Linked DNA regions of Nothobranchius furzeri. The protein of the gene in region 3 purifies or fractionates together with the protein of the main gene of each other region. This does not show direct contact. Links are inferred from orthologs where the notes say so. Each region holds a gene or a part of one and is shown on either strand. Other genes may lie near its edges. The genes, in order: stk11, ahcyl1 and pip4k2aa.

Evidence for each region.
Region 1: the proteins of pip4k2aa (region 3) and stk11 purify together in Homo sapiens (affinity purification with mass spectrometry; 3 studies listed by BioGRID and IntAct, counting the BioPlex papers as one, with this or other methods). This does not show direct contact. The link is inferred for Nothobranchius furzeri from reciprocal best matches to the Homo sapiens genes PIP4K2A and STK11.
Region 2: the proteins of pip4k2aa (region 3) and ahcyl1 purify together in Homo sapiens (co-immunoprecipitation; 3 studies listed by BioGRID and IntAct, counting the BioPlex papers as one, with this or other methods). This does not show direct contact. The link is inferred for Nothobranchius furzeri from reciprocal best matches to the Homo sapiens genes PIP4K2A and AHCYL1.

What each region holds. Positions count from the first base shown.
Region 1 is NC_091751.1:56,737,948-56,742,400, reverse strand, and holds the start of stk11 (serine/threonine-protein kinase STK11), read left to right. Parts: upstream 1-1,652; 5' UTR 1,653-2,410; intron 2,411-3,294; 5' UTR 3,295-3,983; coding exon 3,984-4,267; intron 4,268-4,453. Other genes in the region: sugp1 (SURP and G-patch domain-containing protein 1), read left to right, coding at 73-202, 377-403. UniProt on the Homo sapiens protein: Tumor suppressor serine/threonine-protein kinase that controls the activity of AMP-activated protein kinase (AMPK) family members, thereby playing a role in various processes such as cell metabolism, cell polarity, apoptosis and DNA damage response.
Region 2 is NC_091755.1:28,356,457-28,359,006, forward strand, and holds the end of ahcyl1 (S-adenosylhomocysteine hydrolase-like protein 1), read right to left. Parts: intron 1,561-2,550; coding exon 1,462-1,560; intron 1,347-1,461; coding exon 1,278-1,346; intron 1,190-1,277; coding exon 1,111-1,189; intron 1,010-1,110; coding exon 889-1,009; intron 794-888; coding exon 787-793; 3' UTR 620-786; downstream 1-619. UniProt on the Homo sapiens protein: Multifaceted cellular regulator which coordinates several essential cellular functions including regulation of epithelial HCO3(-) and fluid secretion, mRNA processing and DNA replication.
Region 3 is NC_091747.1:55,186,663-55,190,317, reverse strand, and holds part of pip4k2aa (phosphatidylinositol 5-phosphate 4-kinase type-2 alpha), read left to right. Parts: intron 1-1,318; coding exon 1,319-1,435; intron 1,436-3,655. UniProt on the Homo sapiens protein: Catalyzes the phosphorylation of phosphatidylinositol 5-phosphate (PtdIns5P) on the fourth hydroxyl of the myo-inositol ring, to form phosphatidylinositol 4,5-bisphosphate (PtdIns(4,5)P2). Has both ATP- and GTP-dependent kinase activities.

The DNA.
Region 1 (4,453 bases), on a different chromosome or scaffold from region 3:
CTAACATCTATTTTTGTGGGTTTCAGTCGTGCGAGAAGCTCATTTCGTGTTTCTGTCTCCTTTGCGCTGCAGGGGAAACACAGCCATGAACGGAGCGGGATTAGGAATCGACCGCCCAGCTGAGCTCACAAGAAACGATGATGAGTATGACGCTTTCAGAAAGAGGATGATGCTTGCTTACCGCTTCAGGCCCAACCCGCTGGTAACATTTTTTCTTAACGTTGCTCTAATTTGCATTTGCACTCATTTGAAACTTCATATAGGATCTCGTTATCATGCAGCCACACATTTTTAATTATAGGAATTTTTTGTGTGTGGACAGAGTTTAAGTGTCCTTTGATACTATATTTGAATCTGCTGTGTTATCTTCCTGCAGAACAATCCCCGGAGGCCGTATTACTGATACAGAGGACCACTTCTAAAGCTCGTTTCTGCATCTGCCTCTTGTCTGCTCGCGCATTAATTGAACGTTTTAGCTGTGGAGATGTTTGAGTCCTACGTGTCAGAGAAGTTATTGAAATCCAAAAATTAACAACAGATTAGCTACATTTTATGTTTACCACAAAACAAAAATAACACAGCTCACGCTTTTGTTGCATTTCAGCTTTATAATGTAACGTGTTACAGTTTATAAAAACTTGTATTTAGTTTCTGTGATGATTTTACTCTCATCATTTTGCATCCTCAGAAATCTTTGCCCTCCTGACTATATAACAGTTTTGCATAAGAACACACTCTTCTGTGTAATTTGTGCATCTAGTGATGTTTTCACTGTGCTGTAATTATTGCTTCCTCTCATTGTATGCTGCAGTGATGACAATAAAAAAGATATCTTACTGAAATCTGAAATTGTTACCCAAGTCCTAACAAATGCTGACTTTAGAAAAATTTAACCTAAATCTGTTTTTGTCTTTTTCTCGTTGGTATTTTTTCATTTCTTCATTGCCGTAAAGCAGAGACGATTGGACTGGAGCGACCTGTGAGGAGGATAACAGACCAGTGAAATCAGACCTTCAGTTTGCCATTCCTTAGAGAGGTTTACATGGGATAAATATAACCCTGGAGACCCCAGCTAAGCAAGAGACACCTTTTGGCCACACCAGGAACATCTGAGGTTGATAAAGTTAAAAACATCAGTTGTAGGGGTGGCGCAAACTCACTGGGTTTTAAAGTGTTACAAAATGCAGGTTTCAATAGATACGTTTTGTTTCATTTATTTTGCCTAAATAGTTCCTAAAAATTGTCGATGAGATTTTTTGGGAGTTTGAAATCTTTAAAAATACTTTAATTTTACCATTTTATAGGTTTTGAACGTGCTTGAGTTTTTAATAAGTGCTTTCAAGTAGGAGTGCACTCAATAAATGACTGGTGATGCCAATCGCCCAACATTCAGCTGATTTGAGTCCCAAAGAGTAGATCCCCCCCTTTTAAACAGCAATAAAGTGCAAACAGATTTTCCATGCCAAATTTTTTACTTCTGGTCTTGAAATAAAATAAATTCTGGTAATTATAGTTCTTTAAGATAATGCAGATTATGCCAAAATTGATATTAGCAGGTCAGACCTGTGCAGAAATCAGCATCAGCCCTCGAAACACGAATCGGTGCATTTCTATTTGACTCTAGTTTTAGCACAATAACATTTACTTTTGCAAATAAAACAACGATTAACAAAAGGTGCTTTAATTTTAAAGGTGAAATGAACGAATTGTGGGGGAGTTTTGCAGAATTTATAAAAAATAAAATATAAAGCTGCGCCATATTATACTAAGACTGTCCTATTAGTTTTTAACTATCATTTTTCACTTATGCTTTAGTGAGTTATGAAGAAGGTCACAGATTTGAAAAAATGTTATGAATTTTTCAAAACAAAGCCCTGATCGTTTTATATTAATACCATAAATTCACATAGTTGAAACTGCAAAGGAACAAAAATGAAAGTTAGATAATTTAGTAATTTTTTACAATATACGAAAATAATGTAAATTTAAAAAAATCTGCGGAAACAACAAAATATGCAAAAGATGTTATTTTCCTGTAATTTTCTTTTTGATTATTTTTATTTTCGTCTAACTTACATTGCACTCATTTTTTAAATAAAAATAATGTATTCTTTACTGTGCGTTTTTAGGGAATTAATGACGTAAAAATAAAGCAGACAGGTCAGTTTTGTTGTTGCTCCAGAAGGGGAGGGGTGGGGAGGAGGACTTTGATTTGACGCAGTAACGTGTTGGGGCTGCTAGGGGGGGAGGTAAACAAGATGGCGACAACCTGAGAGGCAAGAGTAGCACGAATAGTGAGGAAATTTTTACTGATATTGTGTTATACTGAAGCGGAACGTTTGATTAATCGAGGACGAACACGTTAAAAGTATTTAAGCCTCACAAAGAAATAACCTTCATAAAGATTAAGGTAAGAGCCGGTTACTGTAGCTGCTTAGCTTGCTAGCTAGCAAATTGCATTGGAATCTGAGCGTCTCCGTTAGCCCGTGTTAGCTGGATCCTTCTGGTGAAATTTAAAGCTCGTTACGTTTTAGAACTGAGTTTGGTTTTATTATCAGACAAACACACTGCGATATAGTTGGATAATATCGCGCGTCTTCTTGTGAAGTTGGTTAATTGTAACGTCTGATGAAGCTTCTGCACATCATTCATCGTTAGCTACAGTTGTGTGACGACGTTTCGCTAGTCTCCCCGCACCCCCTCAGTTGGTCACCGGCCAAACAAGTTACTTTGGTTTTAAACTTTTCATGATTGTTCTAAAGGGGCACGCCGAATAAGTTGAAGTTAATACTGGAAAGCTAATTCATTCAGTCAAATTTTCTGCTAACCGCTAGCTCTAAGGTGTTCACACATTTTTGTTGTTTTTAGTTGTTTCCCCACGTTACTGTTAAACTACGGCTTATTAAGAAATACCCGAGGTTTTTTGTCCACATTTGAGCCCTTATACAAGAGGATTCTAGCTGTAATTCCTCAACCCTTTCTCAAGATGTGAATACCACCTATTTGAAAGCTCAGTTTTTGCATTTTAAGCCCAAACTCTTAAGCAAGTCCCTCAAATATGTTGTGATCAGCCAATTAAGTAGAAAACTTAACAAAACTGTGTCACAGTACTTTCTGACAAAGTTGTTTTTTTTGTTTGTATTAATGAAAAGGATCATGTTCCTGTGTCTGATCACAAGATGTTTACCCAGGTGTTTAAATATGTGTAAATAGATTTTTACTCAAATGTAATTTTGCAAAACAATCAGTGATTGTTCTGATAATTAAATATTTTTTTTTGCCCTTTTTCCTCAGACATCAGGCTGTAGAAACTGTAGTGACATGGAGGACACCTGAGGGCAGTTCAGCGTGGTGGACAGTTCAGTCGATCCCCTGGAGCCTGACTGACACCAGGGATTGGATTGATACTGCTGCATGCTTTGGTTGTCAATTTATGCCTGGATCCAATCCAACTATAAACACTTATGTGTCGGGTGGAAACTATGACATCCAGCAAGGACCTTTGACAGAAATGCTGTGCTGCAAGGCCTTGAAACAAGACTGGTTTCCTTTACCTAAAGTTGTATGGTATTAAACTATAAAACGATAGCCTAGACCGTCGGAAAAGAAAATAATAGTGTAGAATCCTTTTTTTTCCCATTTGAAGTTCTGTTTAGCTGCACTCATCAAAGACGTAGCTCATAATGCACAGTCTAAAGCACTAAATTAGCACTTGAGCCAATAGGTTCTGCACCTCTTTTAGTTTCTGTCTAAAATGAGCCCTAATTTTTACAGGTTTTAGATTTCTCTCTTACCTTTCGTCAGTTCTCAGGCTTTATTTCTCTCCTTCGCATTTTCCGCATTTTAAAACTTCTCTAATGGAAACCCTCGGTTCAGTGCTGAAAGGCTAACAGCAGATTACACCCCAGCAGCAATCATAGCCAGTTTTCAAACGTTTATTTTTTGCACGTAAGGCTTAGGCTGTGGTTGTAGAACCACCAGTCATGAGTGCCAGGGAGCTGCAGCATCTTGATTATCTAAATGAAAACGAACTTATGGAGATGGACACTTTCATTCACCGCATTGACTCTACAGAGGTGATCTATCAGCCACGGAGGAAGAGGGCAAAGCTGATTGGAAAGTATCTGATGGGAGATCTGCTAGGGGAAGGATCTTATGGCAAAGTGAAAGAAATGCTGGACTCGGAAACACTTTGTCGCAGGGCTGTGAAGATACTGAAGAAGAAAAAGCTTAGGAGGATTCCCAACGGAGAAGCCAATGTGAAAAAGTAAGTTGTTTTTATTTTTTTGTAAGCCTGTTATAGATTGTCATTCTTGGAAAAAAAAAAACTTGCAGCGCCGTAGCATCAGACCTACTACAAAGCTGGGTTATTAATTATTTTGAGTTAACACAGTTAAAAAATTAGGCTAACTTCTCTTCATATTGGTTTTTAAAACAGCACAACAATACAAAC
Region 2 (2,550 bases), on a different chromosome or scaffold from region 3:
AAACCTTAAAAGGCATCGTCCATTCAGAAGGCTTAGTGACAAAGATCTCAGGTGGAATGTGAGTGAGCAAATGGAAACTTGGATTAAATAAGACATTTTTGTAGTTGGAAAAAGCTCCTGTGGCTCTTGTCCTTGGAGGTTTCCCACATTCCTTTTGGGGGGAATATGGAAGGCCAGCTATCTTTAAACAAAACACACATTAATCCATCTAAATCTCTTGTTACCACAGAGTTTTATGATCCTTTCAGTAGTGATCTGCAGCTCCACAGGTAAGGTATTAAATCATATTAAAATCCAGTCACTTTGTTTAAATAACTAGAGGCTGTAAGCACACACACCATTCATTCAATGAGATAATTTCATGCATATAAAATATTCATATAACTCAAGTTTGTTGTGGCTCAGCCTAAACTCCAGCTCAAGGAATGTGCCTGTCAAATCTCAATGCCACTATATATAAATACGGCCATAATTTGGCACTGTGCGTAAGTAGAGTAAACGAATGAATCGGCAGCTTTGCGATCAAGGAACAAAACTAATCCGCATCAACACATGCAAGCAGGCCGCTCTTCAAAGACAAGACAAAATGTTAATTGGTTATATATTAAATTCTTTCTATATGCATTACTCTGAAATGTTGAACTACTTTTTGAGGTGCTATTAATAAGTTACATTCGGCTTAAGTAAAATAACTTCTCCGTTTTGTAGCATTTTTGAAAGTAAAATAGACATCTCTGTTCATCCCGTGCCAACTTTGAACCCTTCACCGAGTTCCAGACGTCCTCTCTAATACCTGAGAACAAAATACAAAGTCGTCAGCTTTTTGCACAAACATTGTGTAATAAATTTTAAAAAAGCAGTGAAAAGATGCATCAGAGTGACACCGACCTGTAATAATTAGGTTTGAAAGGTCCATTCTTGTTGAGCCCCATGTACTTGGCCTGCTCGTCAGAAAGCTCCGTCAGGTGGGCGTCAAAGTTGGGAAGGTGCAGACTTGCCACATACTCGTCTGATCACAGAGACGGATTGTAACACATATGATCTTTGAGTGGTGCTTTTCTCAAGTAATGTTCAAAAGTGGAAGCAGTGAGCAGCAGCTCCAACTCTTACCCATTTTCTTGGGCAGAAGATAAACATCTTGTTTGTATCTTCCTTCTGGAGCGTTGTACAGCTCGATCAAAGCCAGGGCCTACGGACAACACAGAGCGTATAATGGCTACAAATCATCACAATGTCTTTAAAAACCCCGTTCCTTCCTGCAGGATCAGACCTCTTACCTGAGTTGTAGCAGTGATGGACAAAACAAAAGTAGGCACCGTAGAACAGCTCAGGTTTAAGAGGCGACCCTGAAAATGGTCCAGAAGACACACGATTGTGGATTTTGCTTTTCTGGAATAAAATAACTTTTATTTTGTGTTGCTCACCAACGGTGATGAAAAAAAAAACTTTGTGAGAGTTTACCTCTGCCAGCAGGATCACCCTCTTTCCATCTGGCCAGATGATGTGGTCAACCTGAGAGCGAACCCTCTCCCAGGTCAGTTCAGGGCTGCGGAGACTTGCCTGTGGATAGAAAAATATATATAAACATCTAAAAAATACTACACTTCAACAAACATTACCTATAATAATCTAAAACTAATTTAATCCAATAATCAGCCTTGATCTGATTCACTAGTGGAGTCAGCCCTAATTCAAGATGGCCACCAAAGCTGATCAACATTCTGAAAAACAAAATGGCTTTAACTTGGTCAAACATACAGATTCTGGGCTCAAATCTGATGTGTTAGCAGCTGGGAGTCACTCCCACTGCATGCTCTGAGTGCTAGCAGTTGATATTTAGTGATTTGGTGAATAATAATATTCTCAAGACTTAAAACAGCTACAACTGCATCATTTTGGCATGAAAGGCAGCAGGTGGTATGCAGTTCAAAAAATACTAGAAATGTGTTTATGTGTTAACCTACAGACATAAACACATATATGCCCCATGGACTGGCACTGCCTATTAGAGCTGCCGTAGTGGTCGACCGCCATCTTAGATGGGTCTCCATTTGCCCCCAGTGGATTCATTTCTACTGAGGGAGGAGTTTACCTACTAAAAAACACATTTTATCAAGCTTTTTCACAAAATCAGACATGTTATGGCAGTGGTCCTCAAATGGCGGCCCACGGGCCACGTCCAGCCCGCGAGCCCTCTCTTTGTGGCCCCCAAACCCTGCGTGCACCCCCCACCCCGACGGCTGACCGGGATGTGTAGGATAGATAGAGCTGAGGAAAATAATCAAATAATCAATGCATGAGATGCAGGCATAAACGATTCTGCATCATAGAAGAGGAGCCATAATCAGTTATAGTGGAATGTGGTTTTGTTATTTTAATGGCGGCATCAGTGCAGCATCCACATCTGTCAGAGCGGTGTTCTCCACATTTACGGGGTAGGAAACTTTGTTCTGCCTTTATGTGGTACTGCAGGGCTGAGCACTGGAGTTATAACCTGAGACCGAACCGAGTCAGCCCGATAGGTTCTGTTGGATTTGGGCGGTGAATTAT
Region 3 (3,655 bases):
TTAGGCACAGAAATGCTGTCCTTGACATGTGAACAGTGATCCGCTCCCTACTGGACTCGTGTTTGTTTTATGACCTGCAACCAATTTAATTCACGATCTGGTCCTTTCTGTCCTCTCTGCAGATGAGGGCGCTTGGTTCTAATATTGTGAAGCGAATGAGTGTGCAGCCTTGGTATTTTTGTCTCCCTTTCATTAGAAACGCTAGAACTTTAGATGTAGCTCACCTGCTCAGGGTTGTAGAAAATAAATGGACTTAGTGGTTTCCTTGCTTGTCTGAGGCTGAGATCCTTCCCCTTTAGAGATTCACCACCACTGTGGCAACTTTACGGCAGGAAAGAGAATAATTATGAAAAACATCACTCAGAGCACCTTTTAATAAAGTATGTATAGTCTTGCATATAAGCCCTCCCCGTGCACTTTGAATTGAGCACCGCTCAGCATTAGCTTACGTACAGATGTGGAGCATGCACACACGTTGGTGGGCGCACCTAGACTGATTCAGAGTTGGTGACATTTCTTATTAACATATGTTTAAAAATCGTGAAAAACAACATAACAAAAATAATTGCAAATGTTTTAATTGTCCGGATAGAGATGCACATTTACAAGCGAGAGGCATTGCTTCCAGCAAAAATCACAGACGTATGGGAGCTTAAAGGGGCCACATCATGGAAAATCCACTGTTTGGAGCTTTTTACTTTTTAATATTATTTCCTCATGAAAAAAACTCAAACGCGTTTTTGGCTGCATTCATGCATGTTCCTGTCTCAGCTGCATATTTTGAGTTTTACTTTGAAAATCCTGTAAAGCCTCAGTGGAAACTAGTCTCGCCATGAGGCGCAGCTAGCTGCCCTATGGGAAACTAAGAGTTTTATTTCCAAGTTGAAATTTAGGCTGATGAAAATAACTCGTCTTTAAGATAAATCACATCTCAATAGTGCCAACGGTGATATTTAATATTGGCCTACATTTGCTTCCAATGGTTTAAAATGACATGATATTGAACCTTTAAGGTGCAGTACATTGTTTCACCTCTAGATGGTGTCCTCTGAGAAAAAACTTCTGATATCTGCTTTAATTTTCAACATTGGAATTATTTTATAGTTTAAAATCGTGCCAAAGAGCAAACTTACACATGTATTTACACAAAATCAGGCTGTTATACTTGATGATCGATTTATCGCCCTTTCCTAACCCTTCTTTAAAAAAAAGGCAGGGAAAAAAGATTTATGCTCTGTTACTTTTGCTACACTTTGCCTTCCAACTTCCTTCCTCTTTCCTTTCTTCTCTCCTCTCCCTTACTCCCCCCTTTTTCTAGCAGCCTCCCCCATCAGAGGATGTGCCCCCGCGGCCCAAATCTGGTAACGTTCAGCAAAGGCTGCAAACTCTGCGGATTGCCACGCGCTTTTACTGCGCCATGAAACACGTAAGAGATGTAAGAGAACCAGGGCTCATATCAGGCATGATCTATTAAAAACACTCTTCATTTTATTGCAACATACACAGATTTCTCTTTATTTTGCTTATTTATTTTTTGCAAATCAACTTTTTTTGTTTCCACGTTTTCTCCAGAAACTGTTTTGCACACATTTCATTCATTTCCAGTCACCTATTTGCTCAGGTTATCAGTTAAAGGGGTTTATTTATTTATTTGTTTTTTTTTTTGGAGCAGCATTATGATCTGTCTTTTCTGTTTTTACGAACAGTAGTGTTATAAATGCTGCCATCACTGTTGATTCTGCACTTTTGTAGGTGTCTAAAAGGACGTGAACACAATTAAAACATGTATCTGTGAGTTGTTGTGAAACTGACCTGCTATGAAGGGTGTTTCATCTTCCTGCCTCAGATAAATACTTCTGTTTTTCTGTTTTGAATCAGTGAAGTACATCATTTGTTGTTCTAATCAGCAGAGATGGAGACTTCTGTTCACTCTGCCTCATGATGCTTCTTTTCCGTCACATTTTAAGTCTCATCTTCCAGTCATAGTTAAACATCCCATATTTACTGAGAACTGGAGGTCTATGTCTCTGTATACATGTGCTCAAGTCTGTTTGGTGGGTTTGTGCAAAGATCTGTTCTTGGTGTGTGTGTGTGAGTGAGTGTGTGTCCCGTCTGAGCTGAAGTTGTGTTGCCGCTCTCCTCCCGCTGCCATAGAAACATTGTAGCTAAACTGCAGCTGTTGCCCTGTTACCTCATTTCCTGCTCTTTGTTTATCCCCTCAGCGCTTCAGAACCAGGTCCCCGTCCCCTCCTACATAGCATCTCTGTCCCTTATAGGCTGCAGGCCCTCCTGCAGCAGCATCGTTAAATAGAAATCCAACTTCATGGACGTTAAGTCTGTTCCTCACTGGGTTTGGTACGGAAGCCTTTTGCCGTGCGATGAAATAAAAATACGGGAGCAGAATCTTGCAATAATGAGAACATTTCTTGTTAAAATGTGATAAGATTTTCTCTTTAACAAGAAACTCTCATAACGACATACAAACACAGTTTTAATGAGAATCTTTCACTTAATATATTTAATCTCAATACGGTTAAACTGGATTCTTTTGTGGCGTTCTACATAGAATGAACGAGGTAGTTATCCCAGTTCTTGGTGTTTGACATTTAGGAGGTGCAGCAGCAGCGTATGGAGGAAAACCGCCAAACAGCAGAGCTTAAATCAACAAAATACACTCACTAGCGGTAAAATCCACCATTTCTGCCACAAACACAGCGTTGACAAGGCAACATACCAGTAGCTTTTCGTGCCGATAGGTTGCGTTTAAGTTAAAGTGGGGGACACCTTGATCAAAGACAAAAAGGCATCTTGTCCCTCTGTTCCTTAGTAACGACATTCAAACATGCTGCAAGACTTGACAGTTATAAACGCGTATTACATTCATGTTATTACATGACATTTTCTTAGTAAAATGTAGGGATGGGTACCTTTGACATTTGAATCGATTCGGTACGAATTCCCGGTACCTAGGAATCGATACCGGTACTTAACAGTACCGATTTGATACTTTTGAGTGTTTATTATTTTAATTCTCTTTTATAATTAAATATATATTTTTGTCAATATATAACAATATTTGATAAATATCACGATAAATAACATTCAACTGTTTGTATTTTAACATCGTCCGTGTAGTTTTATAAGCTGATAATTAAACTGAAGCAAACATCTTTACTGTGAACTAAATTTACTGTGTATCTTCATTCCTTTTGCCGTCTTTTTTCATTTGATTTTTCCTACTGGGAAGTTAGAATTTCCAAGGAGAAAGCGAACACACCATTAGCTGACAACAATGGAAGCTAACATATCAAGCTAACGTTATCTTAAACAGTTTATTTAACTGCTGGAGCAGATTTAAACGATGATGCCTCACACTTAGATTGTTGTCACTGGTTTCATCTTCACCCAATCACCCGTTGCATTTAGTAAAGTGAAGCCAAATTTAGAGCGCGTTTATGTTCTTCTAGTCGGAAATTCTGAGTTTCGAGGAGAAAGCGAACGCACCATTAGTGAAACAGAAGCTAACATATCAAGCTAACGTTATCTTAAACATTTTATTTGCCTACCGGAGCAGATTAAGATGAGGATGTCTCATTTAGATCGTTGTCGCTGGTTTCATCATCACCCAGTTACCCATCACATTTAGAGAAGTGGA